2 linked regions of the Stegostoma tigrinum genome follow. The protein of the gene in region 2 purifies or fractionates together with the protein of the main gene of each other region. This does not show direct contact. Links are inferred from orthologs where the notes say so. Each region holds a gene or a part of one and is shown on either strand. Other genes may lie near its edges. The genes, in order: elmo1 and dock1.

What was found.
Region 1: the proteins of dock1 (region 2) and elmo1 purify together in Homo sapiens (affinity purification with western blotting; 12 studies listed by BioGRID and IntAct, counting the BioPlex papers as one, with this or other methods). This does not show direct contact. The link is inferred for Stegostoma tigrinum from reciprocal best matches to the Homo sapiens genes DOCK1 and ELMO1.

The regions. Positions count from the first base shown.
Region 1 is NC_081355.1:27,441,337-27,458,093, forward strand, and holds the start of elmo1 (engulfment and cell motility protein 1), read left to right. Parts: upstream 1-9,304; 5' UTR 9,305-9,435; intron 9,436-9,443; exon of another isoform or gene 9,444-9,564; intron 9,565-16,757. UniProt on the Homo sapiens protein: Involved in cytoskeletal rearrangements required for phagocytosis of apoptotic cells and cell motility. Acts in association with DOCK1 and CRK. Was initially proposed to be required in complex with DOCK1 to activate Rac Rho small GTPases.
Region 2 is NC_081373.1:32,523,184-32,539,753, reverse strand, and holds the start of dock1 (dedicator of cytokinesis protein 1), read right to left. Parts: upstream 7,040-16,570; 5' UTR 6,658-7,039; coding exon 6,615-6,657; intron 1-6,614. UniProt on the Homo sapiens protein: Involved in cytoskeletal rearrangements required for phagocytosis of apoptotic cells and cell motility. Along with DOCK1, mediates CRK/CRKL regulation of epithelial and endothelial cell spreading and migration on type IV collagen.

The sequences.
Region 1 (16,757 bases), on a different chromosome or scaffold from region 2:
CAATACTCCAAGTGCAGCCGCACCAGAGTTTTGTACAGCTTCACCATAACCTCTTGGTTCTGGAACTCGATCCCTCTATTAATAAAAGCTAAAACATTGTATGCCTTCTTAACAGCCCTGTCAACCTGGGTGGCAACTTTCAAGGATCTGTGTACATGGACACCGAGATCTCTCTGCTCATCTACACTACTAAGAATCTTACCATTAGCCCTGTACTTTGCCTTCCAGTTACTCCTACCAAAGTGCATCACCTCACACTTGTCTGCATTAAACTCCATTTGCCACCTCTCAGCCCAGCTCTGCAGCTTATCTATGTACACCTTGGCTAACTTTGATCTGCCTGTACTGCCTGTCAACAAAGCTTTTCACTGTACTTCAGTACATGTGACAATCAATCAATTAATCACAGCTAATTTGTCTCCACTATACATACACAAATCTGGAATATTTTAACCAGACAGTTATTACCCCTTTCACTACATCTTAAATCTCAATCTCAGATTTAAATTTAACATTTTACGTGATATTCAATACAATAGTATCCATTTGACTCCCATAAAGTAGCTATGGTATGTAGCCTTTACCTGGATAGACAGCATTCATTTGCAAGTAATTAGTTACTTCAGTGATTTGAGGTTTTCTTAGATCCCAGTTAATTGTGTTTTTCTTGTAGTCTCTTTCACTGTTATTTGCCTTTGAAGCCTCCCTTCCACCCTCCACCACCGCTCCCCACACATATCCCTCGTATCCTACTTCTTTATCCTACCAGCCTTGAACCTTGATGTCTCAGTCCAGGGTCTTGAAACACATAACCAGACTGACAGACCTTGGTCCTCCCGCTTTTGTATTTTGCAACCCCACCCCCTACTCCAGGACCTTGGTTTATCTTGTTTGTGACACTGACCAGGACTGATTCTGTAATTTGCGATCCATGATACTTTGAACACACTAGTGTGTGTGTGTGTGTGTGTGTGTAACCTACGCATGCCTTGTGTCATATAATAGCACAATAAATACTGTAGACACCTAAGAGTTTTCTAAAACAGCTAACACACTAAATTTAGACTTTTAATGGATATTAGTCTATTCTCCTTTACACTATTCTTCTGTATCATATATGGTATCATACTATGCGGTAAGAGTTCTAAGTTCTTTGTACATTATAATATACTGTGTGGTTATAAGTCTCTCCTTAATTTAAAAATTGTAGCTACGTGTGCTTCATTGCAAAGCCTGAAGTCAATTGTTTGACTCATATTTCACTTTCATTAAATGGAAACTAGCCAAGCAGGGTAAATAAAGGGAAACAAGTGGATGTGGTATAGTTTTTCTAAAAGATGATTGATAAACTACCACACATAAGGCTATCTAACAAGCTAAGAGCCTATGGTGTTGGGGGTTATATATTAGCATGCTTAGAGGTTTGGCTAATTAGTAGAAAACAAAGAGTTGGAATAAAGGGGACATTTTCAGGATGACAACATGTGACTAGCAAAGTGCTGTAGCGATTAGTGATGGGACCACAATTATTTACAAAATAAATGATTTGGATGATGAAAGTGAATGTACTTTCATGAAGTTTGGTAAAGAGACAAAAATGATTGTGAAGGCAAATAATGACAATGGTACAAAGGGTTTATAGAGGGATATGGACAATGAGGGAAAATGTGAAATGCATTTGAAAGGAACATTAGAAGAGCTGAATATTATTTAAATGGAAAAGACTGGAGAAAGCTGCAGTATTGGGGAATTTGGGATCCATTTTCATTAATCACAAAAAGCCAGCATCCACTATAAAGAGGAAGGCAAATGGACTGTTGACTTTTATTTCAAAGCTAATGGAGAATAAAATAGGGAGATCTTATTAAAACTATAGAAGGCCCTGGTCAAACCATATCTGGAATACCGTGAACAATTTTGGTACCCTTGTCTAAGGAACAATATTACTGGCATTGGAGGCAGTTCAGTGGAAGTTCACCACATTGATTCCATGAAGGGTGGGATTATCTTATGAGGGGTGGCTGAGAAAGTTGGGCTTGTACTTATTTGAGTTTAATCGAATGACAGGGACCTTATTGAAATGTAAGATTGTTGAGGGACTTGAGAGGATAGATGCAGAGAGGTTGTTCTTTTTGTGGGAGAGTCTAGGCCCAGAGACCGTCATTTCAGAACAAGGGGTCACCCAATTATAGCAGATGAGGAGTCTTTTTCCTCAGAGAGGGTAGTCAATCTGTGAAATTATTTACCACAAATGGGTATAGAGACTGGAGCTTTAAAAATCTGTCTATCTTGAATATAGTTAATCAGTCAGGGGATCAAGGTTTTTGGGGATAAGGCATGAAAATAGAGTTGAGGAATATCAGATCAGCCATGATCTCATAGAAAGGTTAAAAAGGCTCAATGAGTCTTACAGCCTACTTCTGCTCCTCCACCTTATGATCTTGTTAATTATGTACTTCACTATGACACAAAAGTTTTCATTAATACATATCCCTGAAAAACAATTTGAAAATCCCTTTAATATGAGCATACACCCATGCACCCCATTATATTGCCCCAAACTTAACATTCATAATATAATGAGCACTTACAATAATCAGGAATTCAGAATTTTAAAAATCCAAAGTTTACTTATTCAATAATTGTTCACAAAACATCCAGACGCATGGCTGGATGTGTAGTATTGCAGTGCTCATAAACAACACTGATCTCAACCCCACCTCCAACTGAGTACATGCTTATTTTGACACATTAGTGGAAGAGAGCCCTGGGTCTTAAAAATTGTCTTGAGGAATTTTATCACAAAACACTCTGAATCAACTTGTGGCCTACTTCCATGCTAGTGCAGATCTCTAGCTTTGAATGTGCACTTTTTAAGGTTAATTCTTGGCAGGTCTGAGTTCCAATGTGATGCATGTCTCACCAGTTACCCTCCATGCTGTTGCTTTCTGGTCATTCAATTCCTATCAATATGATCAGGACCTGATCTGCGATTTTAACCAGAAGTCTCACTGCGGGAATAATGATAACTTCTACTTCATGTTAGAACTGCTTGAAGTGGATTGTGGGCCAAAGATTTGTTTCTACTAGTTGAGATGAGATTTGGGGGAATGGTGTTGCCAATGGAAATACAGGTCAACCTGAGAGCTTGTTGTATACCTCGTGTTTTTGGTTAAATGGAGCTCAAAATACATCCAGGCCTTCAATGCATATGTTATCTGCTTTGTCACTTCATCACATATTGAAGTAGCCATAATTTTAAACAAATTTATTAACGCACATTTATTAACAAATATGTAATCATAGTTTTATGTCTCTATGACGATGAACAATCTGTGTTCATGCACAGTGAATGTAGTGCAACCCAATTCACTGATGCCTTCAGCAGAATGCTGATCACTATTGAACATTAATCAGATGGAAACTGGTGTCAAAAGAGTTTCATGATGAAAATGCAAATCAGGCAATTTTTAGCTTGTCAGTGTATTTGAAGAGCAAATGATCTGTTTTTCAGGAGGGGAGCTGCTAATGTTTTTCCTCTGCATCCTTGTTTTGCAGGTGTGGATCTTTCATGGGATATGGTTCCATGGGTATCAATGATTTATAGCAACTTGCTTGATTGCCTAGTCTTAATCTGTGAATTTTTACATTTTGTGCCAACGGGTTACTACTGGAATTGCAGTGATATAGTAAAATGTTTAGAAATTAATAGATCTTGATATTAACGCACTTCACAATGTGTGACAGAAGAAAGCAATGGGGTAGAAATGTTTCAAGAGTGAAATCATTGGCTCTGCAAATGAAAAAGCAGTTTGAATTAAACTGTCTCTTTGCACTTGTGCACACTGGTGGCTTGCAGGACTGGAAGTTATTTTTGCATTAGTGATTCTGAATTGGACACTAACTTTGTGCAAAGGTTCCAGCAGTGTACTGTACAACATTTTAATTGGCTCCATGCCTTTATATAGCTCCTGTCACAACCTCAGAACATCACGAAATGTGTTGTGGTCAATTAAGTACTTTTAAGTGATGTTAATTCTAATAATGTAGGAAATGTGGCAGACAATTGTTACAGAGCAATGTACCACATATGGTAGTGAAGTATGTAACTAGATACTTTGTTTAGCTCCCTTTCCGATCTCAATAGTCTTGTTACATCATTGTCTTTCTCCCTCTTGGTTCAGATATTTGTAGTCTTCATTTAATCATCTCCTTCAGCAAGCTTTCATGTCTTTGAATATAAGCAATCTGAGGAAGGGTCACCGGACCCGAAACATTAACTCTGTTTTTCCCTTCACAGATGCTGCCAGACCTGCTGAGCTTTTCTAGCAATTTCTGTTTTGTTTCCTGATTTACAGGATCTGCAGTTCTTTCATTTTTTATTGGGCAATCTGACTGTTGCCTTTTCTTGATAATGTTCACTGATGATCTTTCCTCCTTCACCATCTTTAGAACTTTTTCAGTGCTGTCCTTGCAAACAATCGTATTTCAAAACCTTATCATATCTGAATGCTGCTTTCATAGGTCCATTCTTCAGACCCAGACATCAAGACAGTCTGATATCAGCCTTGAGAAAACTACTTTAAGATACTCCCTGAGATGTTACTTCTTTTGTGGGATGTGGAAGTCATTGGTGAGGCCTTCATATTTTGTTTGCTCTTAGTTGTATAGATATCGCTCCCTAAAGGAAGTTAGTCAACCAGGGATAGTAAGAACTCCCGTTGCTGGAGTCAGAGATAACACAGTGTGGAGCTGGAGGCCAGGCGGCATCAGAGGAGCAGGAAAGTTGACATTTCGGATCGGGACCCTTCTTCAGAAAACCAAGTGAGTTTTTAACGACAATTGGCAAGAGGTCATCAATAGGTTAGCTTTTGATTCCAGATTATTACTGAAGGCATAATGCACCTTCTGCCGTACCAGGCTTTGAACACATCCCCAGAATGTTAGCCTGGGTTCCATGAATTACAGAATACAGTGACATTACCAATATGCTGCCACCTCTGATACTATTTATATTTAAATTAAATGGTCCCCTTGTTCGAGTCATACTTAACATCAAGGAAAGTTGGAAGTCACATTGGCACATGGGAGTCCAGAGTATTCTGTGATATCTGCGCACTTTGAGTTCTTCTGGCTATTGCGAGTAGTGAAATCAGTCTAACATCGAATGCAATGCATACCATAGAAGTATGATAGGGCGTTAATGAGGTGAGTTTGGTACGATAGTGCAAGAATATTCACAAGGTGTCATGGAAACAAAACTCATTGTGCCTATATATGGCAAGACTCACAACTATGTGCTGAATTGGATAAAAAATTGGCTTGAAGGTCAAAGACAGAGGGTGGTGGTAGATGGTTGCTTTTCAGACCGGAGACCCATGACCAGCAGTGTGCCACAATGATCACTGCTGGGTCCACTTTTTGTCATGTGTATAAATGATTTGGATGTGAAGATAGGGGGCCTGATTAATAAGTTTGCAGATGACACCAAAATAGATGGTGTAGTGGAGTACAACAGGACTTTGATCAGATGGGCCAAAAGACAGAGGTGTGGCAGATGGAGTTTAATTTAGATAAAGGTAAGGTGTTGCACTTTGGTAAGGCAAATCAGAGCAGGACTCATACAGTTAATGGTAGGTCCCTGGGGTGCAGGTGTATAGGATGCTGAAGATGACATTTGGCACACTTGTCTTCATTGCTCAGAAGATTGAGTATAGGAATTGAGATGTCATGTTGTGGCTGTACAAGACATTGGTGAGGCCAGTTTTAGAACACTACATACAATTGTCCTCGCCCTTCTATAGGAAGGATGTTGTTAAACTTGAAAGGGTGCAGAAAATATTGACAAGGATTTTGCCAGCTCTGGAGGGTTTGAGTTATCGGGTGAGGCTGAATAGGCTGGGGCTTTTTTTTTCCTGGGGCATCAGTGGCTGCTGGGTGACTTCATAGAGGTTTATAAAATCATGAGGGTCATGGATAGGTGTATAGTGAATGTCTTTTCCCTCGGGTGGTGGAGTCCAAAACTAGAGAGCATAGGATTATAGCGAGAGGAGAAAGATTTAAAAACGACCTGAGGGGTAACCTTTTCACATAAAGGGTGGCTCTTGTATGGTATGAGCTCCCAGAGGAAGTGGTAGAGGCTGGTACAATTACAACATTTAAAAGACATCTGGGTGGCTATATGAATAGGAAGGGTTTAGGGGGACATGGGCCAAATGTTGGAAAATGGGACTAGGCCAGTTTGGGATGTCTGGTTGGCGCAGGTCAGTTGGATTGAAGAGTTTGTTTCTGCACTGTATAACTCCATGACTTCTATCTACAGGTCATCTTTACAGCTGTAGATTCATCGTCTCTCTTTGCTGTCTTCGAACACATGGCTCTTGTATCTTAACTTATTCCTGTTGGTTGGACAGCTTCTCAGTCAAGGGTCACCATATCATATCATCCAGTGTTTTTTATTATCCAAGAATTCTGTAGTTAATCCATCTACAATTGCTGCATATTTCGAACAGTAATTTTCAAACCTTCTTGAAAACAATTACAGAAACTGTTGGCATTTCAATGATAATATATATTTCCCGTACAGTTACAGCTTTTGGACTAAAGGCTGTCACAGTGAGCAATTTTCAATATTTCTGGGTAGGTGCACCATTCTAGCTATACCAGAACAGCTTGGCAAGGATGACAACTAATTCTGTAGCACAAGTCTTTAGAATTACAGATAACAAAGTGTGGAGCTGGATGAACACAGCAGGCCAAGCAGCATCTCAGGAGCACAAAAACTGACGTTTCGGGCCTAGATCCTTCCTCTGAGGAAAACCCGAAACGTCAGCTTTTGTGCTCCTGAGATGCTGCTTGGCCTGCTGTGTTCATCCAGCTCCACACTTTGTTATCTTGGATTCTCCAGCATCTGCAGTTCCCATTATCACTCTTTAGAATTACTGCCTAGTTGTTTTTAAGAATAGCTTTTGCCTGATCCATTGACCAAATCTTGTCTGAATATCCACTTGTGTGATGGAATTTAAAATCAAATGTTGTCTGACAATAATTCAGTAAGATACTTTGGGATGTTTTACTTCCTTAAAGAGGCTTGATAAATACAAATTGTTGATATGTGTTGGCAGAATTCAATTCATGAAAATTGACAAAAGGAAGATATCGCATATGGCCCCAAAAGTTACATGAGATCTGGTTTCTGTCCAGGCCCAGAATGAGGAACTACATGCGATATAAATGATTGGAGCCAATGCCCTGAGCTCAGGCAGCCACACCCCCTTGACTACCGTTCATGAAAAATGTCCCTATATGTGAGAGACAAAATTTGTCAGGAGCCGTCCCTCTGACCAAAAATTTGACTCTGTCATGCTCGTTCAATCACAGGATCTTTCTGGTCTGCATTCACTGTTGATAAGTGCACTAGTGAGCCTATCATGAGCATCAAAAGCGGGACAAAACCAGCCTTTGTTAGGAGATCCAGCTTGGCGGATAAGTAGCTGTGGTGCATGAATCCCTGCCTTGCTCTCACTGCAGCTTTGGGCCTCAGAAATTTTTATCAGTGCAGCTCTGGGCCTTATCGATTGCTGTCAATGTGGCTCCAGCATTTGGAATTGGTGTTAATGTAGCTCAAGTTCTCACCTACTGGTGTGAGAATGGTTCTAGCCCTCAGGGTTTGCTGTCAGCATGGCTCAAGACCTTCAGCAGTATTTGTGTGTGTGTCTCCAGGCCTGTCGATTGCTGTCAGAGTGGCTTAGGGAGTTTGGAGTTGCCGTCAGTGCACCTATGGGGCCTTGGGGATGGTGACAGTTACTGTCTTGTATTGAGATGACATTTCATCAAAACAGCTTTACTGAAAGTGATATGATCCCAGCTAATGGTAATACTGGACAAGTCAAACTCTAGAGTGCAATCTGACGTAATAGACCATAGTTTTACTTTTATAATTTGGTTATCATCTTGTTCAGGCACTGAATATGACACTGATAATATTCACAAGAGGCTGCCAATGTACTTTTAACAAAAGGACATTAAACTTATTACACACAAGTACACAATTTTACATGATATAAGAAATATTTGAAATGGTCTTATTACAAATATCAAAAAAATTCAACTCTTTTACCATTAACAATAATCTTTCAAATATTGAAATCTCGCTTTAATGATCCTTGTACCATTGGCACAACTGCTCTTGACTTTGTTTCAGTGAACTTCAACTTTCATTTCAAACTATCTTCTTTATTTAATGTTACTTCAGGAGTCAGATCTCTTATTTCTCTAGATGGATTATTTAAACTCCTCTTCCATAGCTCCGTGTTTCTGGAAATTCTCGTTCTTACATCGAACAAGTCAAGCTTTTTTTGTCCATTTCTGGCTATTCGAAAGACTGCTAGATTTCACTGCTAATTGTACAGGTTCTTTCTCCCTGAGCGACTTGTTTTTCTCTGAAAGATACCTGCACATTCATTTACCTCCTGGACGGTTCCACCTTTCTGAAAATAATCTGTTTCTCTTTCCTCATATATCATAGGGTAGTCAACTGCCTGTTCTCCCTTTCTTTTATACTTGTTTTTCTAAAGCACTGGACTCGGGTTTTTTTTAATTTAAAACCTAGTATAACAAATATCCGGATATCCTGGTACCTCTCATAGAATTCAAAAGTGAAACGAAGTCCCTCCCTTCTCAACCCACACAATGTAGAAATGCAGATCTAACTTATACATGGTTCCGTTCACTTTAGAAAGGCCGGTTTCAAATAATATCAGATTGCAAACATTCATCACAAAGAGACATCTTAACCTGAAATATTAACTCTGCTTCTTCAAGCTGCCTGAACCGCTGAGTATTTTCGGCATTTTTGTTTTAGATTTCCACTATTTCCAGGATTTTGCTTTTATAAGAGAATACATCAACTTGTATAAGATGTACATGAAGATGGAAAGGCTAGAAAACTTTTGAGAAACACAATGGTCCCAATGCAATAAAAGGGAAATACCACAAAATATGACAAACTTCATACCGTCATTGTGGCTACGCATGTCCAAGACAATATTACTTACTCTAGCAGATAATTTAGAATACTGTTACAGGGGCTGAGGTACGGGACCGGCCCAGAAGTTGCAGAACCCTCACTATTAACCCAGCAGTCCAGCGTCCTTTTCACAAATGGATGCAACGATGCTTTGATAATCCAGGGACGTATTACCAGGGCGAGAAAAGGTTGCCTAACGTAGTGATGAATACTGCATTTAATCACATCTCTTGTTTGGAAAATAAAAGTGCTTCTTAAATGTTGAAACGAGAAACTTATTGACGAGGGTTTTGACTTGAAGGTCCGGTTCTGCTCGCCAGCAGGAGGCGCGGGTGTGTGAAGTGACAAGTCGGCACCGAGCGCCCGGCCGCTGGGGCTGAGACGGTGGAAAAGGCAAGAGCAGCCAGGTCAGTCACTGCCGCTCTCTCTCAATCCTCTTTGAGATCGAGCCATTAATGATAAAAAGCCAAGGCGCTCACAACCCCAGCAAGAAGAGGGACATGTATTGTTAGTAACGATAGTAAACAGGAAAGCAGGTTGGAATGCTTTTTGACTCTCCTCCCACCCCCTCTATGTTTGTATTTGTTTGAATGGTGCTCTGCGCATAGCCCACCCCCGCTCTGCTTTGCCGGTGAATTCTAGTCACTGTAGTTCCAATATGCAGCTGGGGCCCACTTTCTCATCACCAGTTGCCGACAGTCCCAGTGCGAGATCCCCAGCTCTCTCACTCTCTCTTTCTCAATGTGTGATCCGGCGTTACATGACGGCCGCAGCTAATGCTGGAGTCGGAGCCTGGGGCTTTAAAAAGACAGCGGGCCCGAGGTTAGCGGCGTGACTCTGACACACTGGAGTCAACCCCTCGACTCTGCGCGGTGCTTTTTTTTTCAAAAATGTTGAGACTGTGCTTCGTAAATGCTGCCTCAGCAGGAAGGAAATGGCACATCTCTCTCTCTCACACACACACACACCGGTACAAGTAGCCCACCCAGCAAAATGGTGCAGGAAAAGCGGCCGGTGCCTGGGCGATAGGGGCTGAGCTGTTGGGTTTGGAGCCTTGCTCACCCGTAGTCCCGCCCCGGCGAGTAGTCTGAGTGCCTCACCGGACCCAGCCAGCCCGGTCATTGCAAACACCAGGGAGCACAGTTTTGGCTTCACGTTAAATTCGTGCCAGCTCCTGTTTGGAAGCTTCACGCTGCCTGTCCCGTCAGCTTCTCTTTTGTGCAACAGCGGCCTGCTCCCCGCTGGAGTCGGAAAGCATGATAATCCCTGCTCGGCACTGAAAGGATGACCTACACCCAAAACATTTCTCCGTTTTTAAAAAAAAATCCAACATTTCCCTCAAACACACTGAAGCGCGACCGTTATCTTGAAAACACATTTTCCCGAAAGAATTGTTAACTCCAGCAACTTGCAACGCTATAAAAGACGAGTGCAAACTGTAGTCAGATGTTGCAGGAAACATTTATTGCTTGTCAGTTTTTTGAAAACCAGGTTGGGTTTTTTAAAAAGTAGGCCCGTAAACTTAACACTGACCTCCTTGAAATAGACCCTTTTCATTGACAAACAAATTCATTGAAAAGAGAAGCAAAATGATGCCCTGGTTCTCCAAGTGCAACCACTTCAGCTTGAACGGACAAATGTAGTGACTTATTGTCACTTTTAAACAGGTTTCAATTGCATTTGAAGGGAAGTTCTATTAATTGGACGAGGGCTGAGGGTGAAGAGAAGGACCTCTAACCTTAAGAGGTCACAGGTGCTTGTATCTTGTTTTGGTCTCTTGAACAACCCCAATCTTAATTACTCCACCGTTGCTAAACTTTGCCTTTCAGCTAATTCATGAGTAACCTTTGCAGTTCCCTCTGTATGCTTCTATCTTTCTGTCCTTTTAAGAAGCCTTATCAGTTTGACAAAGATTTTGGCTGTAATGCCCTGATATTGTATTGTGTTCAGTGCTCACATTCATTAAGTTCATGTGAAGTGTCTCAGGATGTCTTATTTTGTTAAAGGAATTGTGTAAAATCTTTGTTTCAGTGCCAATCCAAGTCTTCTAAACTATATGGTTGTAGTAACAGTTGATGACTTTGAAGTTTTGGTTAAACCAGTTAAGGCAAATTTTAATGTTGCTGTGAACCTACAGTTCATGGATGTTTGTTCTGCTTGAGGTGTTGAAGTGAGTAGCACCAATCCTGTTCTCACTGTCATGCTGATAAGAATTATTTGTACTGGGCGTATTTAATTTGGAAGTGGATGATGAAGTTGACTCCTGTTAACTCCGTCTCGTGTTTGAAGGGAAGCCTTTTCCCAGACAATCTTCTACCTGACACCCATCAGCTGTTACCCTTTTACTTGCTCTGGAAGGAGCTGATCTTATTAGGAACCAGGCTGTGTCAGAACAACCAGCACTGGGCACTTGGGTACTCTGAGACCAGGTGTGCTGCCTTTCACTCCTTGCTTATCATTTCTGTTTTGATACAGAGTTAACTATGAACGTTTTGTCCAGGAGTGATTAGTTTTTTAATCGGAAGCAATAGGATTCTGTTTGTGAGACAATTTTGGTTAGTACAGAGCTAGATGAATTGATTTTGTTTTTACTCTGCTGCCTTTGGAAATCAGAAAATAATGACAGAAAATGCGAGAAATTGTCATCTGGTCTGGCAGCAGCTGTGGAGAAAGGAACAGTTAACGTTTCAGGTCTGTGGCCATGGAAATAGATTATGTAATCATTGCATCATTCTATTTCATTATTGCTTTCTGAAGAACGGCTAGGCCTGTATCTTTCAGTGTTTAGAAGAGTCAGAGATGGCTTAACTGAAACATATACGACCCTGAGAGGACTTGCCTGGGCAGATGTTGAAGGGATGCTTCCTTTCCTGGGAGAATCTACTTCCGGGGTGTAGTTTAAATTAAGGGGTTGCCTATTTAAGACACAGATAAGGAACTGATTTGTTCTTTGAGGGTTGTGAGTCTTTGGAATTCCCTTCCTCAAAAAGCAGTGGATGCAGAATGTTTAAATATTTTTAAGGCAGATGTAGATAAACTCTGATTACCAAGGGAATGAAAGATTCTTGGAGGTGTGCTGGAATATAGTTAATAGCATTTCAACCATGACTGTGTTGAATGATGGGACAAGTGACCTACTCTATGTGTTTGGAAATTGACAGCTGTGTTTATTGCATTACAACAATGACTACACTTGAAAAATATATCACAAACATTAAAATGCTTTAGGATGCCTTGAGGTTGTGAAACGTACTATACAATAGAAGTTGCCATAATGGAATTGAGTTTAATTCCACAATGTGAAGACCCTACTTAAAGAGGACCATTCTTCTAAGCAGAGTCCTTCCTTTTAAAAGGGGCAACTGTCACTGTTGGGAAAATCTTACTTTTCTTTGACTTCTCAACTTCTTCATTTAAGGGCATATGAAATAATTTCTGTCGTGCCTGGTGCAAGAGAGCTTGTGCACGTTTATTTTTCTAAGCAAGTACTGCTCACATTCTTTAAGGCTGCGTCACCATTCTGTCTCCTTACCCTCATCTCCATCTTCAAAAGTTGACTCAGACTTACGACCTTTGACCAATCCTTTACCTTCTGAACCTTAACCAAAGGTTTGACATCCATTCCTCTCCCAATTATGTGATGTGCCTTACAATCGCTTTTCATTATAGAGTCAGTATTAAATAAATATGAATAGCTGATAAGAGTACAAGTTAAATTTTACAAGCAAAGTGCAAATATTTCAAGTGAATACCTTAACTTTTATTTTAAGAAATAGTGCGTATGTTTTATGTGCCAGGCACAGCAGAATGGAACAAGGCTTCTCAGGTCTTGAATGGTACCTTCGTTTCATCAGTTTTCAAGAATTGGCTTTCATGTGTTGCTAATAAGAGAAATGCACCTCTAAAGCATCCCTGAAGTATCAGCATACAAGACCCTGTGCCAAAATGTCAGACATAATTTGACACTGAGCCAAAATCAAGGAGATATTATAACAGGTTTGGTTTAAAAAAAATGATGTAATGAATATCTGAACGTGGAGGAGGCATGCATTGAGGTTATGAAAAGAAATCTAGCGCTCAAAGCCTAGGCAGCAGTTGGACAAGAGATGTGAGATTACAGAATAGGCCAGAATGGAGGGAATGCAGATAGAGGGGTCTATAGAGGGATTGAGTACAGGAATTGTGATGAAAAGTGTGAGATCTCTTATAAATATCATTTTTAGGGTTTGGATTTCTGAATAGTATAAATGTGTGTTGGTATGTTTGAGAAGGTTTTTTTTAAATGATCAGAAAATACTTCTGGAACAGTGACCTAACCCAGAATGTGTCAGAGAGCATATGACTGTGAACCCATGGAATGTTAATAGAAGAAGATATTTCTATGATTGGATTTGAGGTGGAGTAAGTGCAGAAGGCCACAGGCTTGATTCAATTCAGAATAATTGAGGATTGATATTACTTCAGCAAACCCAAAGATTTAAGGTTCAGGGTAGTTCAGATGATAACTGACAAGGGTCAGAAGCAAGTATAGTTTCTCTTCTAGAAAGGAGTTTTTTTAGAGTGGGTCAAGGAATAAGTTGCCTGAGCAAAAGTTTAATTTGTGCAGCTTCAAAACCTTGAGAGTTTGGTCAAAAAACTGCAGGTTATTTGAAGCTAAGAAAATTTAAATTCTCAGTTTTGAGATTTTATGTAAGAATACTTTCTGCAACCACATGGGAAAGAGCTGTGGGAGTGTGAGGGGCTGTTGGGAATGGAGGAGGAGTAGACTAGGATATCCTGGAGGGAATGGTCCCTGTGGAATGTTGTCAAGGGAGGGGAAAGGAGTATACGTCTGGTGGTAGCATTCTGTTGGATATGACAGGAGTGGTAGCTTACGATCCTTGGGATGTGGAGGCTGGTGAGGTAGTAAGTGAGGACCAGTGGGACCCCAGTTGTTGTGGCGGGGAAGGGAAGGGGTGAGGGCAGAAGTGCGGGAGATTGTTTGCATAAATCACTGAGCTGTGGATGATTCTGTAAACGTGCTGTTCTAAACACTTCCAAAAATCCCTTTCCCAGAGCAGGTGCACGTGTCCTTGTTTGTACTAGTCTCCCAAGTTCTAACCTGCAGGTCTTGATGGTTTGAAATTAATTTGAGTCACACTTATGCACCTGTTTTGGGTAATCTGGCTTGATTGTGTCCTTGTCTGAGGATTTATGTTCAGGTGGGTTTACAAAGAACTGAGTTTAAACCATACGCCCAGTTTATTTTGAGTTGCTTTTGTGAGCCACAGTGCTGCTGACAGAGGTTCAGGTACAGTGTAAGCACAAGCAGCTTGGCTTTTGAGATCTCACTTACAGGTTATTTTTAAACCAATCTGAAAAATGCGTTGTTCAGGGTGAGCTCAGGAAGTGATCAGAACCATTTCTGATTTCCAGGCAGCACCCGCTGAACAGATCAAATAAGAAACAAGTGCAGGAAATAATGTGCAAGTGAAGGTTTATTCATTTTAGATGTAGTTGGAGCTGTGCCATGTAAACTCCTTTTGCAGGACTACACAAGGACAATGGCATTTTGAGAAAAGTTTTGTCATTTATATTGAAATGAGCAATTAGGAGAAAGAAAGCAAGAATCAGTTTAGCATCAAGAGGTGCTGATGGTAGTGATGCTTCTGTGAGATGTGCTGTGGTATAACTTGTTCTCTTTACATTTTGGCAACTTTCAAAATGATTTTTAAGTATTGTAAAACCTTTCCAAGGAGGTAGAATTTGAGAGATTTTTTTACTCGAATTCAGTTACGTGAATCGCCAAACCCCTGGAAAGGGTGGGACGATCAGGCCAAGCTGTCAAATTACTCATCCTTGTCATGTCAAAGTTTCAGACACATTCAATGTTAGTGAAGAACCTCCTCCAAGAATCATCACTTGATATGACTGAGCAGGTTTTGAAAGTCTGTTTGCAGCAGATGCAGGGTGTCACATTTTGCATCATGGTCAATGCAAGCATGCTTTATAGGCTGTAAGCATACACTATGTTTCATTCCTGCATGGTGTTCCCGACTTGTGAAAGTGTCTTTACTCATTGTTCATATCTTGGCCCTCTTTAACTCATTCTTATCCAAGTAGGTAGATGATTAACTAAATACGTAAAGAGTAACTCTGTGTCCATGCACGGACATGAGCAGGAAATTTGTCCCTTCTGTAGTGTAGCATAAGTTGTGCTTAGTTAAGTTTCAGAAAAGAGCTGTCACACAGAATTAGTCAGTTGTTCAAAACTGTAAAGGCCTTCAAGCATTTTGAAGTTTTAGGATATGTAACTGACTTGTGAAATTAAACAGTGAGCAGGTTACCTCTCTGTGTGACAGTACTGTCATGTGAGATGGGACTGGATTCTGACTACATAAACTGTTAAATAAAATAATTGATTTTTATGATTTTTGCTCATCTGGGCAGGTCAGGGGTATTCCATCACACTCCTGACTTGTGTCTAGTGGATGCCAGGGAGTCAGAAGGTGTGTTACTTGTCTCAGAATTCCCATCTTCCAATCTGTTGTTATCCACAGTATTTATGCAGTTAATCCAGTTAAGGTTTTGGTTAATTCTGGCAGTAGGGGAGTTCAACGACAGTAGTTATTGAATGTGTGCTTGCTACTTCTGTATTATGTATGTCACTTGCTACTTATCAGCCCCAGGTTAAACATTGCCCAGGTATTATTTTATGAGAGAGATGTCTGTTTCAGTATCTGAGTTGCAAATTGTAGCTAACACTTTAATGTCAATAACCTATACAGACTTATGAGTTAGGAGTGAGGTAAGCCATTTGACCTTCACCATTCAATAAGATCATGGCTGATCTCTTTGTATTCTGAATTCCATATTCCCATCTATTGCTGATACCTTTTATTCCTTTTCCTTACAAGAACCTGCCTACCTCAGCCTTAAAAATATTCAATGACGACACCTCCATGGTCTTCTGAGTGAACAGTGTTTCAAAGTCTCTTAATCCTCGGAGAGAAAATTTCCCGTCACTTCTGACCTCAAAAAAAACCTAATTTCAAAACATCGCCCCCCCTAGACCCTAATCCTGGACTCCCCACAAGAAGAGTTATTCTTTAATGTCCACCTTGCTAAGACCATTCAGCCTGTTATATACTTCAATCCATTCATCCCTCACTTTTCTAAACTACAAGAAAAATAGACACAGACTGTCTAATCTTTCCTCGTAAGACAATATGCCCTTGTTCAGTTATTTATTTAGTAAACCTCCTCTGAACTGTCCCCAATGCATTTACATCCTTTTTTAAAAGAGGATCATCAAAGCTCGGCAAAGTATTTGTGATGTGGAACCACGGCTCTATGTACGAAACAACCTCGGGTAACTATCTGTGTGGAGTTTGCACATTCTCCCTGTGTTTGCGTGGGTTTCTTCTGGGTGCTCCAGTTTCCTCCCACAGTCCAAAGATGTGCAAGTTAGGTGGATTGGCTATGCTAAATTGCCCATAGTGTTCAGGGATGTTTAGATTAGGTGGGTTATGAGGGATGGGTCCGGGCGGGATGCTCTGAGGGGCAGTGAGGACTTGCAGGGCCGAAGGGCCTGTTTCCACACTGTAGGGGTTCTGTGAACTGAAGCATAATCTCCTTACTTTTGTGTTCTGTTCTTCTCATGATAAAGTATAGCATTCCGTTAGCTGTCTTGAACATTTGCTGTTCTTTGTACCATTCAACTTCTGCAATTGTTCACCATTTAAATAAT
Region 2 (16,570 bases):
GAGAGTAAAGAAGATAGGTGGAGAGGGTGTAGGTGGGGAGGTAGGGAGGGGATAGGTCAGTCCAGGGAAGACGGACAGGTCAAGGAGGTGGGATGAGGTTAGTAGGTAGCTGGGGGTGCGGCTTGGGGTGGGAGGAAGGGATGGGTGAGAGGAAGAACCGGTTAGGGAGGCAGAGACAGGTTGGACTGGTTTTGGGATGCAGTGGGTGGGGGGGGGGGAAGAGCTGGGCTGGTTGTGTGGTGCAGTGGGGGGAGGGGATGAACTGGGCTGGTTTAGGGATGCAGTAGGGGAAGGGGAGATTTTGAAACTGGTGAAGTCCACATTGATACCATATGGCTGCAGGGTTCCCAGGCGGAATATGAGTTGCTGTTCCTGCAACCTTCGGGTGGCATCATTGTGGCAGTGCAGGAGGCCCATGATGGACATGTCATCAAGAGAATGGGAGGGGGAGTGGAAATGGTTTGCGACTGGGAGGTGCAGTTGTTTGTTGCGAACTGAGCAGAGGTGTTCTGCAAAGCGGTCCCCAAGCCTCCGCTTGGTTTCCCCAATGTAGAGGAAGCCGCACCGGGTACAGTGGATGCAGTATACCACATTGGCAGATGTGCAGGTGATAGTTCTTTAAGGACCGCAACTTTCCCCCCACGGTGATCGAGAACGCCCTTGACCGCGTCTCCCGCATTTCCCGCGACACATCCCTCACACCCCGCCCCCGCCACAACCGCCCCAAGAGGATCCCCCTCGTTCTCACACACCACCCTACCAACCTCCGGATACAACGCATTATCCTCCGACACTTCCGCCATTTACAATCCGACCCCACCACCCAAGACATTTTTCCATCCCCTCCCCTGTCTGCTTTCCGGAGAGACCACTCTCTCCGTGACTCCCTTGTTCGCTCCACACTGCCCTCCAACCCCACCACACCCGGCACCTTCCCCTGCAACCGCAGGAAATGCTACACTTGTCCCCACACCTCCTCCCTCACCCCCATCCCAGGCCCCAAGATGACATTCCACATTAAGCTAGGTTCACCTGCACATCTGCCAATGTGGTATACTGCATCCACTGTACCCGGTGCGGCTTCCTCTACATTGGGGAAACCAAGCGGAGGCTTGGGGACCGCTTTGCAGAACACCTCCGCTCGGTTCGCAACAAACAACTGCACCTCCCAGTCGCAAACCATTTCCACTCCCCCTCCCATTCTCTTGATGACATGTCCATCATGGGCCTCCTGCACTGCCACAATGATGCCACCCGAAGGTTGCAGGAACAGCAACTCATATTCCGCCTGGGAACCCTGCAGCCATATGGTATCAATGTGGACTTCACCAGTTTCAAAATCTCCCCTTCCCCTACTGCATCCTTAAACCAGCCCAGTTCATCCCCTCCCCCCACTGCACCACACAACCAGCCCAGCTCTTCCCCCCCACCCACTGCATCCCAAAACCAGTCCAACCTGTCTCTGCCTCCCTAACCGGTTCTTCCTCTCACCCATCCCTTCCTCCCACCCCAAGCCGCACCCCCAGCTACCTACTAACCTCATCCCACCTCCTTGACCTGTCCGTCTTCCCTGGACTGACCTATCCCCTCCCTACCTCCCCACCTACACCCTCTCCACCTATCTTCTTTACTCTCCATCTTCGGTCCGCCTCCCCCTCTCTCCCTATTTATTCCAGTTCCCTCCCCCCATCCCCCTCTCTGATGAAGGGTCTAGGCCCGAAACGTCAGCTTTTGTGCTCCTGAGATGCTGCTTGGCCTGCTGTGTTCATCCAGCCTCACATTTTATTAAAACTATGAAACTCTCACTTTCATCTATTTTTTAGTCTCTTCTAATCAACCTGTTCAGGAATGTTATTACACACCTCTGATGCAAGTGGGCCTTGACCTGGGCCTCCCACTCCAGGGGTAGAGACACTACCATTGCACTACAAGGGATCACTTTGGTTATTGCTCCAATATAGGCCTCAACTCCATTCCCTTAAGTCTAAGGGATGTGAATGTGAACTGACATGGCACAAAACTCGTTTAACAATTCACTGCTAGATTTGGCTGGAACATATGAGTTAGTACTGGGTCCAGCTTCTTCAGCTAAAACTGCTTACTTCCAAAGCATTTTGAATGCAAGTATAACCTCCTGGCTTCAGAATTAATGGTTATAAATCCCTTTAACTTACTTCCAACAAGTAGCAATAAGATTTTCTAAACCTTGAAAGATCATGAAAGATTGAGAACATCCAACCAGCTATCTCTGCGACTTTCCTCCCTTCCATTGCCTTCCTGGGCCTTCAAATTCCATTTATTTTCAAAAATCCTTATACATTTTGCTGCTGCTCAATCTGTGCCCACTATTCACATGGCTCCCTGCTGAAATCCTCAAACCAAGTCTTCACCCCTGCCAAGTGTGCCAAACAAAAAAAAGACCAGTCATAAATGGCATTCAACATGACTGATAAAGTAATCTACCCCTTCACTCAAAACATTAACTATTTCTCTTTCCACAGACGCCGTCAGATCTCTACGTTTCTCTAGCATTGGGTATTTGGTACAGATTTTCCGCATTAGTGGGACTTGTAGCATTTTCCCATTCCCTTTTGTCTGTTGTGAACAACCTTTGACAGTTATCCAGACCATCCTCGTCCAATATCTCTCCATCATCTAACACCATGGCTGACTCCATTCCCAGCTATCAAATTCTAGAATCAAAAGAATCTATCCTTGCACACCTTACTATTTCTCATACATCTGTCCCTTTGAGATGATCAGAAAACACCAGCAATCACTCACCTGTTACAACTCACTGGGGTAGTACTTTGGAAATCAAGCCCTGCCATTCCAAAAGTTGTCACTAGTATTAGAGGGCGTATAACATATGTAAAATTTCCCCCCAGATTACCACAGAGCAGATTTCTGTACTAAACAAGACAACTGACATATTAAAATTAATTTGACTCTAGCCACAAGTAAACAGTTATAAACCATCAGCATAATTCCAATTAAAACTCTAACACACACACACACACAGGATGGGTTCATGGGCAGAGTAAGGAGAAAACAAAGTCATCTTTGTCCCAGGTACTGTTGTTAAGATGATTCCTGATTTTCCTGCTTGCTATCAATACACTCGTCTTCTTTCTCTGATTGCTTCCACTGGTTGCCTTGTGTTCTCAACCACTCAAAGTCTGACTTACCAGTTAAAAATCACATTGTACAACAATTGTTGCAGACATCATAAATTGGTTTTCTTCAAATCTACAGCAAGAGTTTTGACTGTAAAAAAGACTACTCCCAAGTTAGGTACAAGCTGAATATTTCACTCTTGCCCTCTATCTCTCTATAACTTGTTCCTAGCTCCAAGCTGTTCAGTTACCCACAAATCAAGCTCAGTTGTTGGCAGGCCAAAAGTCTCCATCATTAACAATTGCCATTAGTCAGTCAATCAATACTGATAAGTGAGTGTCCCAAAAGTTCACAAAAACAGGAAGTTGCTCCAATTTTGGAATCAAGAACAGAAGAACAGTATGTTATTTTAATGGAGAAAAAGTGCAAAAGCCTGCAAATCAATGTGACTAGAAGGTTTTTTTTTAATGAAAGCATGTACATTGACGCAAAAAGTAGTCAGAAGGCTAATGGAATGTTGACCCTTATTTCAAGGAGTATTGGAGTACAAGAGCAGGGCAGGTTTTTTTTATTATTATCATTTCATTGAAAGCAGTACAAAGAAGGGTCACTAAGATGATCCAAGCATGGAGGGAATGTCTTATGAGCAAAAGTTACCCAAGCTTAGATGAATGAGCAGTGATCTCATTTCAACATATAGAATTCAGCACGACTTGTTTTCAAAATGGTTATTTCCCCTCATGGGAGAGTCTCAGACCAGAAGGCAGAAGGGGCATCAATTTAAGACTGAGGTGACCACAACTTTTTCTCTCAATCTTTGGAACTCCTTAACACATAGCTGTGGGAGCAGACTCCTGACGCACATTTAAGGCTGAGATAGACAGTGGGGAAATCATTGGCACAGGAAAATGTAGGAAAGTTGGATTAGCCATGAAAGGCGAAACAGGGTCGAGGACCCAAACATCCTACTCCTGTTCCAATTTCTTATGGTCTAACCGACTTCTTTTTGCCAGCAAAAGTTGCATTAGTACACTCACTCAGCTCCAAATCATCTGTAACTCTACAGTTACTGCTTGTACAAGAAGTTGTTTGCAATGATACCTGGCATGGGTATCAGGTTATTTGCTTTCCAAAATTACATCCACTCTTTCACCACTTTTAAAACAGTTCTCTCATTTCTGTCCACAGTTTAAATACAAAAAAAGTCACAAAATATAAAGACACAGTCCTTACACTTGCTAACGATACCCAAATCAGTCTCTCAATCTCTCAACTGTCAATAAATCAGAGTGCTTGCTTGTGTAACTTCTAGTAGCAGATAAGCAAAAAGATCCTCTAAGTACAAAGCCATTTTCTTCATTATAAACTTCAGTCTCCAGCTGATAATTACAGTAAAGATAATGAAAGTATGGCAGGGTTAGTGTCTACAAACTTGAGTTGCTAAAGCAGTAAAAGGAAAGCATCAAAATCACTGTATATTAATGCACTTAAGAATCTCAACAAAGCAGTTATGTTGTCAGCTCAAAAAGAAATAGAGATTTTCTTTTGATAGCCATAGGAGATGTTGCTGCATGATGAGAAAGGCTTGAATCTGAATATTGAAAGATACGTTCAAGGGTCAAAAGACAAAGTTAGAAAAAGATGATGGGGTTGCTCTGTAAATTAAGATTACTAGCATCCAGATAAATGGATAAAGCTTTTCCTTATGTTTGCACTCCCCCTTTTGCCAATTATTTAAATACATGTCCTCTACCTCTTTATCCTTTCCCCAAATGAAATTTAGCACACTCAATCTTTTCTGCCACCTTCAGTGATTTACGCATTTTTAGAAGATGCGATCTTCATTTTTTTTTTAATTGTCAAGACTAGTTTTTATTTATTATAATTTTTTTTAAATTGAATTCAAATTTCATAATCTGCCATGATGGGATTCCAGCCTGTGAACCTCAAGGCATCAGCCTAGAGCTCTGGGTTACCGGTCATTATTTCACTAATTCATGATTTAAAAAGTTTGTAACATTGCAGTAACAGAAACTTAGTACAGGATTCTGGGCAGTCATTGTGCTTTAAAGGGTATCCTTAAAATTGTTCCTCCCTTAACTGCAAATTAAAGCTGAACTAGCAACAGTGAGATATGTTATATGTACATATCGTACTTTTCAATATGCATTAGAAGACTGACGCCAAAGTAAGGACAAAAACTATAAAGTAGATTGAAAGAATAAAAAGGCAATCCGAAATACAGTATATTTTAACAAAGGACTAAAATAATGCTTGAAGTGAATGAAACATGGATTGTAGGTATGGCTAATCAATAACCAATTGGTAATAAAAAGGCTGGGATAACAAATTGTGGGGCTGGATGAACACTGCAGGCCAAGCAGCATCTTAGGAGCACAAAAGCTGACGTTTCGGGCCTCGACCCTTTATCCCCAAAACCTCAGCTTTTGTGCTCCTAAGATGCTGCTTGGCCTGCTGTGTTCATAAGATGCTGCTTGTTCATCCAGTCCCAGACTTCGTGATTTTGGCTTCTCCAGCATCTGCACATCCCATTATCTCTGATCACAGAATTAAAAAAGGCTTTTAGTTTTGAGGTAATGAACCACATTTGCAGGAAAGTCTTCATTTACGAACTGACATAAATTGGTAGGGATCTTTTCCAAAAGTTGATGAGGCCATGCTCAATCAAAGCAGTGTGTGCAATATGTCAAGTGATACGATTATAATGTGCCAATTCTCAGTACACAAAACCACTGAGGTTAGGCATGTGCACGGAAAAATGCTTATTTTACAAACATTGCAATATGTTTTTAAAACATTAGTGGTAACCCCCTAGTGATAAGTGGGTGCTGCAGCATGTTATGACACTTATGTTGCAAGTTAATCACACCTCTTCTAAACAATTTGGAAGGCTTACAGTTCAGATTACCAATACTTTATTAGTAAAAGTGAAGATTTAATAAACAGCAATTCCAATAAAAGTCGCAGCTAAGTACAGTGGATGCACTTAGCCATTATACCCGAGGTTCGACGAACTGGGAGTAACTACAGCTAACTTTGCGACATTTTAAGATATTCGCAGATTTACAGTTCAACATTTTTTAAAAAGTATTTCAAATTAGGGAGGCTGCAGTGTAGGAGTGAATTCATGGCCGTCTGTTGAACAACATCCCAAAACTAAACCACTGGGCACGGCCTTAGAACTAGGCGCGCCCCAAACCCAAACTGTTTCATTTGACGAGAGTAGAGAGAGGAAAAAGATTTCCAGGAACTATTCATCCTAATGAGTTACTGTATCGTAAAAGAAATAGTCATTTCAAAGGTTAAAGTATTTCTTGGACTGGGCTGTGGTCAGAAAAGAAGCAGATAAAGAGGCCCGTGTGTTGGGATATGCGGAATGAAAAGGAAAAAGAAACTGCAAAAAAAATTAGCATTAGTTTTAGCTGCAAGATCTTCTATTCAGGACTGGCTGGAAACAGTCACTCACTGTCACTCACCCACTCCATATTTCTCCTTTTTGCTGGGAATCCAGCGCGTCATGGTTGCGTTTAAACTTCCTTGAACTTGCGAGTGTTTTTTTTCCACCAGTTTTTCCTCATTTCTCCTGGAAACTCCAGGCCGCCATTTTCCACAGGAGGAGAGAGAAAGTTCCAGTCATGTGTCTCGAGCGTCACCGATCATCAAACTCCCAACGGTCACAGAGTTTCCCAAAAAAAACTTCCCAGCCAGTCACCGCCTCGATGTCCGAGCTCCTGCCGGTATGTTCCCCTGCCCAAAGCCTTGTTACAGAGTTACTTAGTTAGTTAGCACAGTTTATTTTTCTTCCAAGACAAACCAGCTTCCAGTGGCGCGCTACCCACACACCAGGGATTGTTCGGGAGTGTGAGACGGTTATGCAATCCGTTTTGCCTTTTGTTCGGGAAGTTTGCACTGCGCCTTTGACAATCCCACTTGCCTGTTCTTGTTACTTATCTCGAATCGTCTGCACGGCCGCAGGCCGTTCGGCCCAACCAGTCCATGCTTCACTCCAGTCCATTCCTTCCACCTTTCCTCACTTAATTCTTATACTTAAAACAACATAAGTATTCAGAATCCTGAAATTATAACAGGAAGTCCCCAGCAGTTTGGCAGATCTGTAGAAAGAGATACGTATAAGTAACATTTCAGGTCTCTGCGACCTTTCATTAAACGGAGTTTGAAACGCTGTTTTTCACTGCCGCTTCCAGATCAGCTGAGCATTTTCTGTTTGATTCAATCCAGCGCCCCTTTATTTTCTTTTAATATACTGAACCACTTTCCCTAAAATATGCCTTTAGTGCATATTCTGAAGAAGGGTCCCGACCCGAAACGCCAGCTTTCCTGCTCCACTGGTGCTGCCCGGCCTGCTAGGTTCCTTCAGCTCAACACCTTGTTACCCGACAGTATATTATTTGCTTTACACACTCCATGTGGTAGCAAGTTCCACGTTCTCGCGTCTAGGTAAACAAGTTTCTTTCAAATTGCCTTTCTTTTGGTCACTCACATGCATGACCTCGAACTCTTCCTCAAAGGTTTTGTGTCTACAAACCTTCTGAGAGTTGAGAGTCATAGTAGAGCTGTACAGCATGGAAACAGACTGCCCGGTCCAACTTGTTTTTTGTTTGAAAATAAAATACTTTATTCATAGAATATACAAAAAAAAACACATTTATACTGGGTTAGACTGCCTAGTCCAACTCATCCAGGCTAACCAGATATCCTAAATAAATCTAGACCTGTTTGGGCCATATCCCTCTAAACCCTTCCTATTCAATATGCCTTCTAAATGTTGTAACTGTGCCAGCCCCCACCACTTCCTCTAGCAGCTGATTCAATACACGCACCACTGTGTGAAAAAAAAATGCCCCTTAGATGCCTTTTAAATCTTTCCCCTCTTCATCTTAAACCTATGCCTCCAAGTTTTGGACTCATGCCCCCTGGGGAAAAGGCCTTGTCCATTCACCCTATCCGTGCCCCCGACGATTTTGTAAGGTCACTTCTGAGCCTCCGAGACCTGTTTATTAGGTCATGCTTCAGCCTTTTCCTTTCAAGAGAAAATAAATTTTCTGTTAATCCCATTATCATCAAACAAAATAACTCTTGACAATAGTAGATTTTTTTCCCCCTCAAATGGCCTAAAGCTAACAGAAAACTAAACCAAAAAAGGAAAAATTTATGAACATAAATAATACTATTCACACCCATCCACATTGCCCTCCAATACCTTGGGTGCATGCCAGAGAAAGCCTGTCGACAGATACTCCACAGCCACCTAGGTACAGATAAGCCTGAAAGAAATAGGCAGGCAACAAATGCAACTGCTCCCAAAGGAGTGCCTATTTTGTATAAAACCAAGAACTGCAGATGTTGGAAATCTGAAATCACCAAAAAAAAAAGCAGGAGTGGAGAGAAAGCAGTGTCAATATTTCAGAAGCTCAGTGGGCCATTTAGCCTATTCTTATGCATGTGTTTCTTATGTTCTTAGGAGATGAACTACTTGGATAAATATCCATCAACACAGTCTATTCTATCCATGCTCCCAACGTGGCCTCCTCTGCATCAGTGAGACCAAGTGGACATTTAGGGACCATTTTGTAGAGCATCTGCTCTGTGTACATGACAAACAACAACACCTTCTGATCAACAACAATTTTAGCTCCCACTCCCACCCGATGTCCATCTGGGCCTCCTCCAGTGTCACAGTGACACCACCTGCAAACTGAAGGATCCTATAGCTCAATACCCTAAATGTGGAATTCACCAGTTTTAAAATCTCCTCATCCTATGTCCAACCCTCCCTCTCACCCCCACTTCCTTAACCTGACACCATCCATCCATTTACTCTCCCGGCTATCTGCCCCTCCCACCTCACTGACCAATCCCCACCGCCCCCTACCTGCATTCACCTATCACCAACCTACTTACCTTGCCCAGCCCCACGCCTCCTTATTTATTTCTGAGCTCCCTTCCTCCTCCCTATTTCTGAAGAAGAGTCCTGACCCAAAACATTAACTTTCCTGCTCCTCTGATGCTGTGCTCCTCCAGTTCCACTGTCATATTGTAAAGTAAAGTAACATTTGTGAATTTTGATAATTGTGAGAATTTTAATTGTGCAGAGTGACCGGTGTGAATTTGGCATTGGCAGTTGCAAGTTTGTGTGGATTTATCTGATATATTTTAGTAAGATAGCTATGTAAAATAAATTACTAAAATGTGCTCACAAATGAATTGCTGTTTTTCTTGGTCCTAATGAGTCAGATTTTAAATGTGATTTGTATTAAATGCATTTAAGATAATTGCAAAGAACTTTAAACTTTCTCCAAGTGAGTTTTTAATATCTGGATCATTCTAGCATGGCATTGAATTAGAATCCTAAAAGGCTGAACAAATGGAAGATATCCTAGAGAAGAAGAAATGGGTAATCAACAGCAATGTAATGACAATGAAGATAAGCATCCAAGACATTGACCAAGTGTGTCAGTCAAGAGAGAATAACACACCAAAAGTCATGGAGCATGAATAGCCAGAGTGACTCCCATTGAAACCTTCCATGGTGAATGAGCTGCTTTTAGACTTCTTTTAATTGTTTAACCTATTATTGGTAATATGGCAAGTTGTCCCCACATAATGCAAAGGACAAGTGGATGTTATAGTTTTGCAGTTCTTGACGTTTTCTGCACTGGATAAATATCTAGTTATCCTTCTGAGTGGACGCATGGTAATTTTCAGTGAAACCACTTTAAAGTATCTGCATATTACATGTCAGGGGAAAAAAGCAGCAGTGAAATCATGCACTAACCTTGTATGGTGCTACAATTATGTAGCTGTTAAAGCTGCAAACAGAATGTCAAATCCAAGTCTTAGTTAGTGAAATCTACCATGATAGTCCAGCAGATTGAGAGGAGCCCTGAGGAATCTATTTGAACCTCACATCATTGGTAACCCTTTAATATTGCTGAGTGGGCAGAGACTGAAAAGTCTATGCTTAAGCAGCCTGGCAAATGGCATCTAAACTGTCAAAAAGGCCATTTGAGCAGCTTTTCTTATCATACCACGGTCATCTGAGAGACAGAACATGTGAATTGCACATTGTACATCTCCCAATATGAATGGCAATGTGCTCCCTTGAAAAACCGATGGACATAATTAAGAATTCCCTCCTGAGATGTGTGGGACTGTCACTGATTCCACTGTCACTCAAGGTGGAGTTTGATGTGGAATGATATGTGATGCCAGTCCCTGACTTAAACCTTGCATGCCATATGATGTGTCTGTGCTGTCCACAGTAAGTTGTGAATCCTTGGCTGCAATCCAGAACTTCATGCTTCAAAGATTTGTGATGGCTGAAACAATCTGCAGTTAAGAATTTGGTTGCTCATCAGAGATATGTAGCCTGGTTAGAGATGAAAAAACTGCTTTCATCCTTGATATGTTTGAAGTGGCTAATTATCTCTCACGTAAATGCCATTTGACCACGTCTAACAGTCAAAATGTCAATACCACAGCAGACATTTTAAGAGTGCAAGTGACAAATGTGCAATGTTATCTACAATAATGTGTCACCCGAGCCACCTTTGTGGCCTCAATATTTTTTTTTCCTCTCCATCCCACTTAATCTCAGTGCAGTCCCAGATTTTCTCCACTATAGGAGTAGAAGTCTGATCTTCAGTAACCCCCACTGGTCTTGACCCTTTCAGCTTAATTATGACAAAAATTTCGTACAATAAGACAAAGGAAGGAATTATGAAAATGTATGGATGGAGCAGTGAATGGTGATGCAGGAGAGATGGTGAGGTATCCTAAGTGATAAAATAGGAAGTGCCAAGATTGGAAGTATCAGCAGATTGGGAGGATGAGCCATTGAATAGATAAAATGCATACAATAGTGACAGTTGCAATCTATGTGCTGTGGTGTGATCCATGACAGATTTAGAATGAATGGCGGCCTTGTGAGTGTGAGGTAACAGTGACAAAATGCTGGCACGCACTTTTGTGAAAGACAGAAGATTATGAACATTCATCCTACTATGCAGTGTTCTATTTAACTTGGGAAACAAGTTAACTGGTGTTATTCCCTGCATCCAGGCTAGCTGGATCTGATGTCATGTTCTCCTTTGGATGCCTAACGTAAAGGAAAAGTCCTCTTCTCCCCAGCCCTGCCTATAACCAACTCCAGGTCCTTGTTCACAAAGTGGAAAGCATCAATGATCTAGACACATGCACTTAGGTTCCTTTACTCCTGCAAGTCCCTGATAGAGTTCAGCCAGTATCTGGTGGCAACCTTTGCTTGGGACAATTACTTTTACTCCCCATAATACAGTGCTATCCTCGAGAGTGACCTGGTCTCGCTGGATCAAGAAAGATTTCATTTCTGGTTGTGAGGGCCCTTTTGTTTCCCCATCATTATCAGCTGTTTTAATTTTGCCAGGACCAGATCTTTTTGCATCCACTGTCTAATACTTTCATTCCCAACAATGATGGGAAGGGTGTCCAGAAAATTTATTTTGATTGGTTCTGATTTATGTGTTACCAAGCAATTTAACTGTTCCAAGCCAGATATAGGTGGGTTTTCCAGGGCATGCACTCTCCTGGAAGTCATGTTATGAGCTCTTTTACTAAATTCAGGCCTACTGGGCTCTTTTGCTGCCTCGAGTCTGCATATCAGCAGCAATTACAGTAGCTTCCTGGCAAGGATACTGAAGAAAACATTAACCATTTGGCAAGGCTTGTCTTTGTTTTGGGATTTTGCTATGAGCCAATATAGAGTCCCTCTGTTGAAGATGTGGCCTGAATGAGGCGATGTAATTTATTTTCCTCAAGTGGTGTCCCCCAAGCTCAGTCAGCCTGGCAAGGCTGAATACTTCCACTGGCTTGCCTTGTAGCTCATATGTTCCACTTGCCACATTTTCGAATGACAAAGCTTGTTTGAGTTCCAGTTGGGCTTCAGCTAGTAGTTGCTTCTGTACAGTTACATCATTGATCCCACATACCAAATGATCATCCAGCATCTAATTAATGGTTAAACCAAAGTCACATGCCTCTGCCAGTCATCTTAACCTCGTCAAAAATGTCAAATCGTACTAAACTCAGCTGATGACAACCTCATACATCCTAGTTGCTTTGGAACAGGGCTCCCGGTGAAACCTGAATGAAATTCAAGTGTGAACATCAACAATTAGAGAGAAAGAGTAAGCAATTAAGACTGTTGTGGTGCAGTAGTAGTGTTCCTACCTCTGGACTAGCAGGCCTGGTTTCAAGTCTCACCTGCACCAGGTGTGTAGTAACAACTCTTAAAAAAGTTGAATACAAAATAAAGGATAAAAAGAGTAAGCAACTGTTCTTGCTGCTGTCAGATTTTCAGTAACTAAGGATTTTTGAACAGACAACTGAGAGCAGGTGCTTCTATGCCAACTAGAAGAAAAGGATAACAGAGTGCTAGTGAGAATGAATTCCTTTCTTCAAAGGAATAAAGATTTTTGTGAAGTGTTGGAGTTTATTATCAGAACATGGAGTGGAAGGGATTTTGTTTAGAAGGACGCTGGAAGACTTACTCTAGCAGGGCAGGGAGAAGGAAGTCTATTCATTTGCCAATAGATATGTAAGACCTAAGGCCAGTTATTGGCTGAAAACTTGCCAAAACATATTTATGTGGCAGGGGATTTCAGTTATTTTAAATAACACCTTTTCAGTGTTTAATTTGTTAGTTCCCTCCTGAGTAATATTTATTTGCTTCATAGATAGTAGGAACTGCAGATGCTGGAGAATCTGAGATAACAAGGTGTAGGGCTGGATGAACACAGCAGGCCAAGCAGCATCAGAGGAGCAGGAAGGCTGACATTTTGGTTAGTCCATTTGTTCCAGAAGAGTTTTAAAAATGAAATCTTACATGATTATTTGCCTTAGTCACTGGGAAATTTATTTTTCTTTTAAAAGTTATTGGTTTGTACAGAGGATTGTAATACCTTGATCTGTTTCCTGAGATTTAAAGAGCAGGTATATTTCAAGCTGAAACTATATAAGGTACACCATTGATGCAATCAGTCCTTATTTCTTAATTCTTCCTTCACTTCTCTCATTCAGAACCACACACATTTACTTTATTTTCTCAAGGTTTTATTTAATATGTTTGATACTTCCCTTTTTAATATTTTGAACTAATTTTGATAAACAGTCAAATAAATGTTGCTAATGATTATGATTGATAACATCGTCATTTTACTGACTTAAAGGATCCTGGAAAAATCTGGGCGCTTTGTGTTCCAAGACTGCATAATTACAAACTACTACACTTATACGAGAAGAAAAATCACCATTTTCTGAATAACTAATGATGGATAACATATATGTGGCTGTCATATCCTAACGTCAAAAAGTCCACTTGCATTGTCTACATGCCTCCTGAACACAAACCTCAAAAATATGAGATTGAGAAAGGTTGTCATATGATTCTGAGAAGACCTCACAAACAGTAACACTCCCAAATATCAGTTTGATTTATCATACCTGCCTCATAATATTGTTTGTATACATGTGTGATTAATTGTGAGTCATTTTCTACATGCTAAGAATGTGGACACAACTGGAAGGACCTGTATTTATTGTTTGTCCCTAATAATTAAGTTACCTGATAATCTACTTCAGAGACTACTGCATTTATGTGAGAATGGAATTATAGATAAGCTGTAGTGGGTAATATCAGATCTTCAGGGCATTTGCAAACAGTTTAAATTTTTGCCAATGTAGTTCCTTCCAGTTACAGTGGCCAACTGTAACTAACTGTAATACCAACCGTAAGTGATGGAGAGTAAGAATTAAGAAAAGTAGCCAATATTTTCAAAAAGGGGAATGGTAGAGGCAGGTACAATTACAACATTTAAAATACATTTGTACAGGTACATGGATAGGAACGATTAAGAGGGGTATGGGCCAAATACAGGAAAATTGGACTAGTTCATTTAGGAAACCTGGTTGGCATGGACAAGTTTGGTCGAAGAGTCTGTTTCAGTGCTGCATGACTCTATGACAGGATGTTTCACTAAAAAGCTGCCTCTTTTTATTATTCATTGTCATATTCATAATATAATCACTAAAAAAACTACAATTTAACAAAAGAAAAGGTAACCTCCACCTCCTTATAATAGCTCATAATCGGTAATAGATTTGTTATTCATACCTCTGTAGTCCTAACAATGCACCAGAAGCATCACAGTTCCACCAGTGCCAGATACCACAGCAGTGAATAGATTTAGGTCTCAGGGTGGGAATGGGAATGGAAACCCAGAAATGGTAGAGATAGAATATAGGAAAATGATGGGACAGCCTGATGGAGTTGGGAATGGGAAGTTGGTAGGCAAACTTTGGAATATGCTCTTAATCTAAAAAGGGGGACAATTATGGAACACCCTCACCACTCCACTCTTCATGCCTAAGTTCCAAACAGGGTGTTCTGCCAGGCTTCCTCCACATCCCTGAACTATAACCTAATGGACCATAATGTTGCTGTCTTGTTAGAGAGATAACTCATGATGGTTTCGTCTGAGGATTGCTGCACCTCAAGTAAAGGGATAAGTCGAAAAGGAGAGTCCTTTGTTGTAACCATAACCATTGTGGGAACTGAACCCATGCTGTTGGCAGCACTCTGCGTTCTAAACTAGCCATCCAGCCTACTGAGCCAACCCAGTCCCATTCTATACTCTGTTTGAAGAGGATTTTCGATACAGACCAGGACCTTTCCTAATATACTTTGCCAATACTTCACACTAATTTGGTTCTTCTGTAAAATTTCTAAGGACATCATCTAAAATTTGTCAGTGTAATACTGCTAAATGGAAGACCTCATGGGAGACATCAGCAGAATGTGAGTGACTGACCATGGGAATACTGAGGGAGATTCTTTGATGTAAAGAAAGAATAGGAGAAGGTGATGAGACCAAGCAGAGCAACACCATCTGCTGGAGGAGATGAGGAACAAGAGAATTCTCAAACAGAGGGCCTATCCACCCAGGATCTTCAGAAATCCCATTCAAACAACCTAATGCTACTGCATAAAGAGTCTGCACTTTTACCAAAGAGGACACCACAAAAATGTCGAACCACATTCTTAGAAAACATAGGCCTAATAATACTGTCAAGACTGCACAGCCTGCACTAATCAAAGTTACTGACGCACTTAATGCCACCCAAGTTTGTGCTGAAGAGTTAGCTTAGAACTTTTGTAAAGACTTTGTAATAATTTTGCAAAGGTATAATTTACAGTTGTTGAAGTATTACACTTGATGTTGAAGCAGTAGTAGTGAAAGTACAGAGGTCCTATCCACCCAGGATCTTCAGAAATCCCATTCAAACAACCAAATGCTACTGCATAAAGAGTTTACACTTTTACCAAAGAGGACACCACAAAGATGTGTAACCACATTGTTAGAAAACATAGGCCTAATAATATTGTCAAGACTGTGCAGCCTGCGCTAATCAAAGTTACTGAGGCACTTAATCCGACCCAAGTAGTGTACTGAAGAGTTAGCTTAGAATTTTGCACCCAGATCTTTGGACAGGCACTTGAGCCCACATGCAACTCAGAAAGAGATGTCTATTTAGAAAGATTCCCAAAGCCAACTTTCAGAAACCCAATATTCCCTAGGAGTAGCGTGCAAATTCTGATAACTCTATCTAGCCCTGTTGTGCTTTCTCGCTATTTTGCATAAATCAGTAATAGACCTAATAAGTAGGACCATTATTTACTTAATTTATTAAGTTTTCACCAACTAGCTTGACAGGCTGCATGTACACATATAATTAAGAGCAAACGAACGATGAAATCCAAAGAATTAGCTTTCATAAAACTAGTGGGAAAGCCATTTCACTCTACCTTGCCTGCTTGAAACTGACATCTACTGGAAGTGGTGTGGTAGAAATGTCCTGTACTTTCCTCATAGAATAATTTTGTAAAGATATAATTTACAGTTGTTGAAGTATTACACTCGATGTTGAAGCAGTAGTAGTGAAAGTATAGAAAGATATTGAATAACTGTGGTTCTAGTTTCTCAGGTCTGGAATGAGCCAAGTACAGTTAAGAGTCAAATCTGACTAAATTTTAAGTTTAATGTATAACCTTAGAGAAATCATAATTTTCCCTCCAATTTTCCTGGACTGTGACCAAAACATAAAACTAAAATGTAAAGTAAATGATAGTCTAAAGCAACTTCGAATGAATAAATTTTATATGCAATACCATATTTACCAATGACATTCTGGGAGATTATCCTATTTGATTTAATGGTCAGGCATATAATTGCTTCAGATCAGTAAAGTACAATCTCTATGGTTAATCTTTCACCACATTGGAATCCAGGCTACTCAGCAGACTTTCACCAATATCTTTGACATTTCTCCTCTTTTTAATGGCACATAAAAAATTATATGTGTCAAGATTGATGGT